Linked DNA regions of Ovis aries. The protein of the gene in region 2 purifies or fractionates together with the protein of the main gene of each other region. This does not show direct contact. Links are inferred from orthologs where the notes say so. Each region holds a gene or a part of one and is shown on either strand. Other genes may lie near its edges.

The links. Proteins that work in one complex are often made in the same cells at the same time.
Region 1: the proteins of GATAD1 (region 2) and MORF4L2 purify together in Homo sapiens (affinity purification with mass spectrometry; 4 studies listed by BioGRID and IntAct, with this or other methods). This does not show direct contact. The link is inferred for Ovis aries from reciprocal best matches to the Homo sapiens genes GATAD1 and MORF4L2.

The regions. Positions count from the first base shown.
Region 1 is NC_056080.1:129,270,826-129,274,958, forward strand, and holds the start of MORF4L2 (mortality factor 4-like protein 2), read right to left. Parts: upstream 2,807-4,133; 5' UTR 2,748-2,806; intron 1,492-2,747; exon of another isoform or gene 1,420-1,491; intron 17-1,419; 5' UTR 1-16. UniProt on the Homo sapiens protein: Component of the NuA4 histone acetyltransferase complex which is involved in transcriptional activation of select genes principally by acetylation of nucleosomal histone H4 and H2A.
Region 2 is NC_056057.1:10,570,786-10,573,766, reverse strand, and holds the end of GATAD1 (GATA zinc finger domain-containing protein 1), read right to left. Parts: intron 2,746-2,981; coding exon of another isoform or gene 2,611-2,745; intron 1,214-2,610; coding exon 935-1,213; 3' UTR 715-934; coding exon of another isoform or gene 548-714; 3' UTR 510-547; downstream 1-509. Other genes in the region: peroxisomal ATPase PEX1, read left to right, coding at 1-146, 548-714, 2,611-2,745. UniProt on the Homo sapiens protein: Component of some chromatin complex recruited to chromatin sites methylated 'Lys-4' of histone H3 (H3K4me), with a preference for trimethylated form (H3K4me3).

The DNA.
Region 1 (4,133 bases), on a different chromosome or scaffold from region 2:
TTTTTCTGATGGTAGTCTAGAAGGTCAAACAAGGGGACAGCAAAGGACATAAAGATATGAGATGAACGTTTTGTTTTCCACCAATGCATTTTAACATACACAAAGGACACCAAAGCTGATAAAATACGTACAAGATTTTTCCCCCTTTCTTGTGGCTACATTTTCAAATTTACCTTATTGTACATTTATCATGATTTCCGATAATTTGTTTTTGCTTTTTTCTAAGTTTTATTAAGGATAATTTCAAATGGATAAAAATGTAGGGGAATAATATAAACCTTTGCGAATCTATCATCCAGCTTCAACAATTACCAACTGAAGGCCATCTTGTTTTATCTGTAACCCCACCCACTGCTCGCCGCCCCCCCCCCCACTCTTGTTTTTCTCAAGAGCACTGAATAGCTGACTTTCTGTATTTTATTATGGAAAAATTCAAACATATACCAAGGAAGCTAGAACAATACAAGGAATCCCATAAGCTCATCACTCAGCTTAAACGATTCATTTAGTGCCAATTTTGTTTTATCTATGCCCCTCGCCACCTCCCCTTACCGCTGAGCTAATTCTGAAGCAAATCCTAGACATCAAGGTATTTTGAAGCCAGTCTGAATGCTTTTATTGTTTAATTCGTATTTTCGTATATTTCTGTAAGCTACAGGCAATTTGAAAACATAACCACAGTATCATTACAACGTCTAAAAACATCGTCATTAATTCCTTAAAAAAAATCAAATGTCGAATCCGTCTTTAAAATTTCCTGATGCACCTTTAAGTATTTTTTTATAGTTGATTTCCCCGAATCAGGATTCAAACAAGGCCTACTCATCGCATGTGGTTCATCTCCAGCTAGCTCTCATTCCTCATTCTCCGTTTCTCCCCACCCCCGCTTTTTTTTTTAACTTTTCAATACGGAAAATTCCAATCCCCGCTATTTTGAGGTAATTGTCAAATAAATTATTTCATTGGTAAAGACTGATACGTCTCTTTTGTATCTCGAATTTCTTTTACGGAAGGAGGTGATAGGAAAAGCACTGTAAGGAACGACTTTACATAATTTTACGTTTTTTCTCACTCTATTACGCGGGTTTTTCTCTCCACAGTAATAGCTAACGTCTTCCGGAGCCACGGTGCGTATTAAGTTATTATACGTATTACATTACCTAGCAGTCGTATATTATACGCTCTAATATACAGCACACGCCTCTGAGGCACAAGTCTCTGAGACAGATACTATTATTATCACCATTTTACAAACATGGAAACCGAGACACAGAAAGAACAGCCAGCCCAAGCTGGGCGTTGGCGAGTAGGAATTCGAATCTAGTTCTGCCCGATAGTAAAGCCATTAATTAATCTTGTCTGTATACGCGACGATAAGAGGAAATCGTCAACCCTTTCTCCCCACCCCCACCCCGAAACCTGAAACGAGGATCCAGTTCTTTCCGACAGACGACGACGTGTGATCACTGCCGACTCTCCAACCGCCATAGTAAAGCCAGGTTTCTCTGGCAACTGATATCCATAGGCAGACACGTCACCCTGGAGGCGGGCTTATGCCCTACAGCCAATCACAATCGTCTCATCTAAGTTTTAGAATGTTCTATAACCAAATGATTGGATGAAGCTCACCACGTCAGCAATGACACTCCGCCGCAGTAAAGGCGGGTGCTAGCAACCTGCTTCTTCACCGTTAAGGCTTGAAGGAAACCAATTACCTTTCTCCTTTAGTGAGGGCTCTGACCAATGACGTTCGCCCTCTTAGGTTTTCAGCCCGCCCTCCAAAAGCGCGACAGCGGTTGGGTCATAAGTCTATAGGGCAGAGTGTTCACGTGGCCCACTTTCACGACCCAGAGTTCCCCTGCCCAGAGGTTTCTTTCTTTTTTTTTTTTTTCCTGCAGGGAGGCATTGTGGGTTCCCCCCCAACTGGGAAAGGAAGTGTCTACGTGGCCTGCGGAAACAGGATGGGCGGAAATGAGCTAAGGTCCCCGCGAGTGGGGAAGCGCTAGGTCAAATCTGCGGCCACGCCCCCGAACCTCTTGCGCAACTCCCGGAGGAAAAAAAAAAAATAAAGGTTGACTGGGGGTTTTGATGTGTGTGCGAGTTGGGGGTGGGGGGTACTGCGGGCGCGCGGTGTCAGGGCTCCTGTGCGCAAGCGAGCCCGCGTGGCCTTGGCGTTGGCGTGTGCGCGAACGCCAGGCCTCGTGGCGCTGGAGGTGGCTGGTGTGCGCAGGCGTGCGCCCCTAGCGTCGGGGCTGGTGTGTGTTCTGGGGCGGGTGCGTGCGCGTGTGTGCGCGCGTGAGCGCGCGCGTTCTATGCGGATCATTTTTCTACTTATGTTTGAAAATTATTCTTATAAAACGGAAATTTAAGCAATTAAGTTATGGCGACCATCACTGAGATAAAGGATTTTCGCTAGAAATACTTCGGTCTCCCCTATCGATTTGATTTTAAACCCTAAAAATACACTTTCTTCCCACGTCTATCTCCGAATCAAAAATCCCGTTCTAAGCCGTAGCCCAGCAGCGGTTAACAACCAAATCCCCCATTCGCTTACTAGCAGTTCCAAAAAGCAGCTTTGCTGTTCCCTAATAGCCGTCTTCCCCCAACCCCCGCTCCTTCCCCCGTCCATCCCCCACCCCCAAGTTGCGTCCAGTTCTGCCACAATATTTTGCTGAGAATATCTGTACACGACAGACTTCCCCTCCACTAGGGACTCCGAATTTCTGTGGGAGCTGAGGCTCTCTTACCTGCTTGTTCTGATTTCCAGGCAGAGTGCTCTTAACGCAAGTATGCACTCTAATTTTCCAGAAAGTTCTCCGTGTGAGGTTTATACCTTTTGAGTTTGCCACTAGATGCCGCCAAATTCCAGCAAAGGATTGGCTGTTTGGTCCCTGGAATTATGGGATTCCCCCATCTTTTTTTTTTTTTTTTTCTGATTTGCTGAGCTTTCCAATCTATAAAGATCATATATATCTTTCATTTCTCGAGAAAAATCAAATTAACTTATTAATAGCCCTACCAGGTAGGGCTCTATTCAAATGTTTACCTCCTTTCTTTACTTCTTTCCTCCTTAAAAAAAAAATTCCCCCTCCCATCTCTTTCTTCTTGCCTTTTTTGGGGGTGCTGCTGCTGCTGCTAAGTCGCTTCAGTCGTGTCTGACTCTGTGCGACCCCATAGACGGCAGCCCACCAGGCTCCCCCCGTCCCTGGGATTCTCCAGGCAAGCACACTGGAGTGGGTTGCATTTCCTTCTCCAATGCATGAAAGTGAAAAGTGAAAGTGAAGTCGCTCAGTCGTGTCTGACTCTTCGCGACCCCATGGACTGCAGCCCACCAGGCTCCTCCGTCCATGGGATTTTTGATGAATGACCCCCAAGCACTGACGCCGATGAAGATACGAAGATTCTAACCCTTTCTGTGGGGTTAGGATCTTTTCAAATGCTGCCACCTGCCCCGCTTTACCACCTCACCCTGACCCCTGCTCTGCTGCAGGGAAAACACAGGTGGTTTTCTGGTCAGTACAGACATTTGTCTTCACTGGGCTTGGACCCTGGGATTGAAAACTGATCTTTCACTTTTGAAATTATGATCGGATATTTGTGTTTTCACCCTGTCTTCTGCAGTAGTACTGTGAAACTTTATTATGTTTTTGGAGTTTAGAGGCCTAATTAGAGGCCTAATTTTGAGCCCGATTCCACCACTTACTAGTTCTGAGAACCTGGGATTTATGTTCTGTGATCCTGTTTTTTTGCATGCTTTCTATATTTTAGATGTGTCATATCACATGATATTCTTTAATTCTTCACAAAATCCTTGTTAGAGGCATACTAATAAAATCAAACAACACAAGTTATACTTATTTCAGTTATAGATTCCATACGTTTGTGTGTGTGTGCATATGTGTTTCTGGGCACACACGTGCACCCTTTGGGGAGGGGTGGGATTTAGAGCAGAGGTTCTCAAAGTGTTTTCCAGACACACCAATAGCACCACCTGGTGGGGAATTGTCAGAAATTTAGATTCTCACCTCCAAACTAATCAGAAATTCTAGTAGTTGTTAGGGTTTGGGTGTCTGTGTTATAACAAACTATTCTGGTGATTCCAATGCACACTTCTTGGAGGGTAGAAATATAAT
Region 2 (2,981 bases):
GGACTGTGACATGAAGAGGCTCACCGGTCTTGACCTGCAGTGTATAGCTAAAGAAACCGAAGGGTTTGTGGCTAGAGACTTTACCATGCTTGTGGATCGAGCCATACATTCTCGTCTCTCTCATCAGAACGTGTGCACCAGGGAAGGTACGTTTTATTGCTAAAACCGAAATTTGATTCCTTCCTTCCTTGTGGAGAAATGTAATTGTAGTAAGGTAAGAATTAAATCTAGTCCATGTTAGCATTCAAATAAGCAGGTATGTGAGTAGAAAATGGCCATTTCCAGCTAAGTTGACAACATTTTTTTTAACTGAGTTAAGATTGGCTCAGTGAAATCAGACGGGGAAAGACAAATATCACCTGATTCTATTCATGTGGAACGTAAAAAGCAAAATGAATGAACAGACCAAACCAAACATGAACATGTAGATATGAAGAGCAGAATGGTGGTTACTAGAGGGGAGGGCACGCTGGGGAAGGGAGGCGGCTGCATGAGGACTCACATAGAGATATGACCACCAAAAGAAGTTGTGTTTATTTCCAAACAGAATTAGTTTTAACAACATTGGACTTCCAAAAGGCGCTCCGAGGATTTATTCCTGTGTCTCTGCGAAATGTCAACCTACATAAACCTCGGGACCTGGGCTGGGACAGGATCGGTGGACTGCATGAAGTTCGGCAGATGCTAGTGGATACTATCCAGTTACCAGCCAAGGTGCTTAGAAACAAACTGAGGACTGCCTGCTTCCTGTGACACCCCTGAATCATTGGCTCTGGCTGTATGTGTTGGCTTGCCCAGTCTCAGGTTGACCCAATAAGAATTTATTGTTACCAAATAAACGTCCAGTCCTATTCTGGGCACTTGAACAGATTTTTTAAGTATTTGATACAGTCCTTGCCCATGATGCTGGGGTGATATTTATAGTAGATAGATTTTATTTTATTTTTGACTGCACTGGGTCTTCACTGCTTTGTGGGGGTTTTCTCTGGTGGTGATGAGCAGGGCCTTCTCCTTGCTGTGGTGCACGGGCTTCTCGTTGTGGTGGCGTCTCTTGTTGTGGAGCACAGGCTCTGTAGGGCACACGGGCTTCAGAAGTTGTGCCACGTGGGCTTAGTTGGCTCCAAGCCATGTAGAATCTTCCTGGACCAGGGATTGAACCCACGTCCTCTGCACTGGCTGGCGGATTCTCTTCCACTGTGCCACCAGGGAAGTCCTGTAGTAAAAATACAGTTTGATGTGAATTTCAGAGTTCTTGGGTTTTTCTTGAATAATTCAAATTTCACTGAAGCATATGAGCCATCAGCTACAATTGAGCAGAAATGAACTAGAAGGTGGGAGAGTCACTGAGGCCCCCAGAGCTGATGGATTTAGCCAGATTTTGGGTGACAGTCTCTAGACAGAGTTAGCAGGCAGCACCCACCAGGCTGACTGTTGTTTAGATCAGAAGTAGAATCGAGAAGGTGGTGTGTTTGGATGAGAAACCTGAGCATGAAGGACCTTCGCATGAGATCAGGGGCCCGACCAAAGAGATAAAGAAATGGGTAAGGCCCTCGGTTACATGTAGGTACTGGGGACTGTCTGGTGGGGACTGGGGCATACTGAGTGGCACCCACGACTGGGGGTTAAAGCCTGTGTGGAAGGACATGGGCATGGGACGTGGCCTGCAGGGTCAGGACCTGAAGGCTGGGTCTGGGCACCAGCGTCATCCAGGCATGTGAGCCATCTGCATAAATGCTCACACTGGGACCTCGTTCAGATTAGAATGGAGGTCCAGATGAGGTTGGAATTCTGTCAATATATGGGACTAAATAGATGTACCCAATAGAGGAGACCCAGTGGGTCTCCCCAGTGGCTCAGGAGTTACAAAATCCACCTGAAGTGCGGGAGACATGGATTCAATCCCTGGGTCAGGAAGAGCTCCTGGCAGGATTCCTGCCTGGAGAGTCCCGTGGACCGAGGAGCCTGGCGGCTGCAGTCCATAGGGCCACACAGTTGGCCACAGCCAAGCGCAAGCTCCCATGCTGCCCAGAGGAGGCCAGGGGGTTGCTGACAGAGCCAGGCAGCTTTCTTGCTGTTCAGAAGTTTTCTTGTTCAAAAAGTTTTGAAACCTGTTCAGAAAGTTTTCTTGCTGAGAAGCTGGTGGTTTAGAGGGTAAAATTACTTGTTCAGCATGGAATCTCCTGGGAGATTGTACTATTATCACTACACATGCTTCTTTATATTTTCTTTCCTTGATTGAGTATATTTGAATTGGTGTAGCAATCATAGCTTGCCCCATGAGCCATACAAGTGGAGGGCAGTATACTTATTTTTATTTTCTTAATGTAGTACTATTGTAATGTTTGGGGGTGGGAAACAGGAGAAGTGGAAAGAAATTCAGATCCATTTATATGCATTTTATGTGGAATGTCTTCCGTGGTCCAGTAGGGAAAATCTGTGTTAGTCCCTTTGAGTCCATTCATTATTTTGAGTAGGAATGGCTTTCCTGTCATTGACAGTTACAGAGATGGCAGTTGTTACTGTCCAAGGACTTTTTCTGTGCCCTGATCTTTAGCTGCTCAGTCATTTGTTTTAGAGTCGAGCTCTTTGTCGTATTTTCGTATTTTTCAGTACCCGGAATTGTTTGCCAACTTGCCCATACGACAGAGGACAGGAGTACTGTTGTATGGTCCTCCTGGAACGGGAAAAACCTTACTGGCTGGAGTAATTGCACGGGAAAGTGGAATGAATTTTATTAGTGTCAAGGTATGTTTGGCGTTTATCTTTTTTCTTTCTTTTGATTGAGGCAAAATTCGCATAATTGTGTTAAAGTGCACTTTCAGTGGTATTCAGTGCGCTCACAGTGCTGTGTAGCCACCAGCTCTCTGGTTGCAAAACTTCTTCATCACAGTCTCCATCCCCCTGCCAACCCCCTGGCAGTCACCAGTCTGCTTTCTGTCTCTCTGGATTTGCCTGCTCTAGATATTTCATAGAAGAGGAAT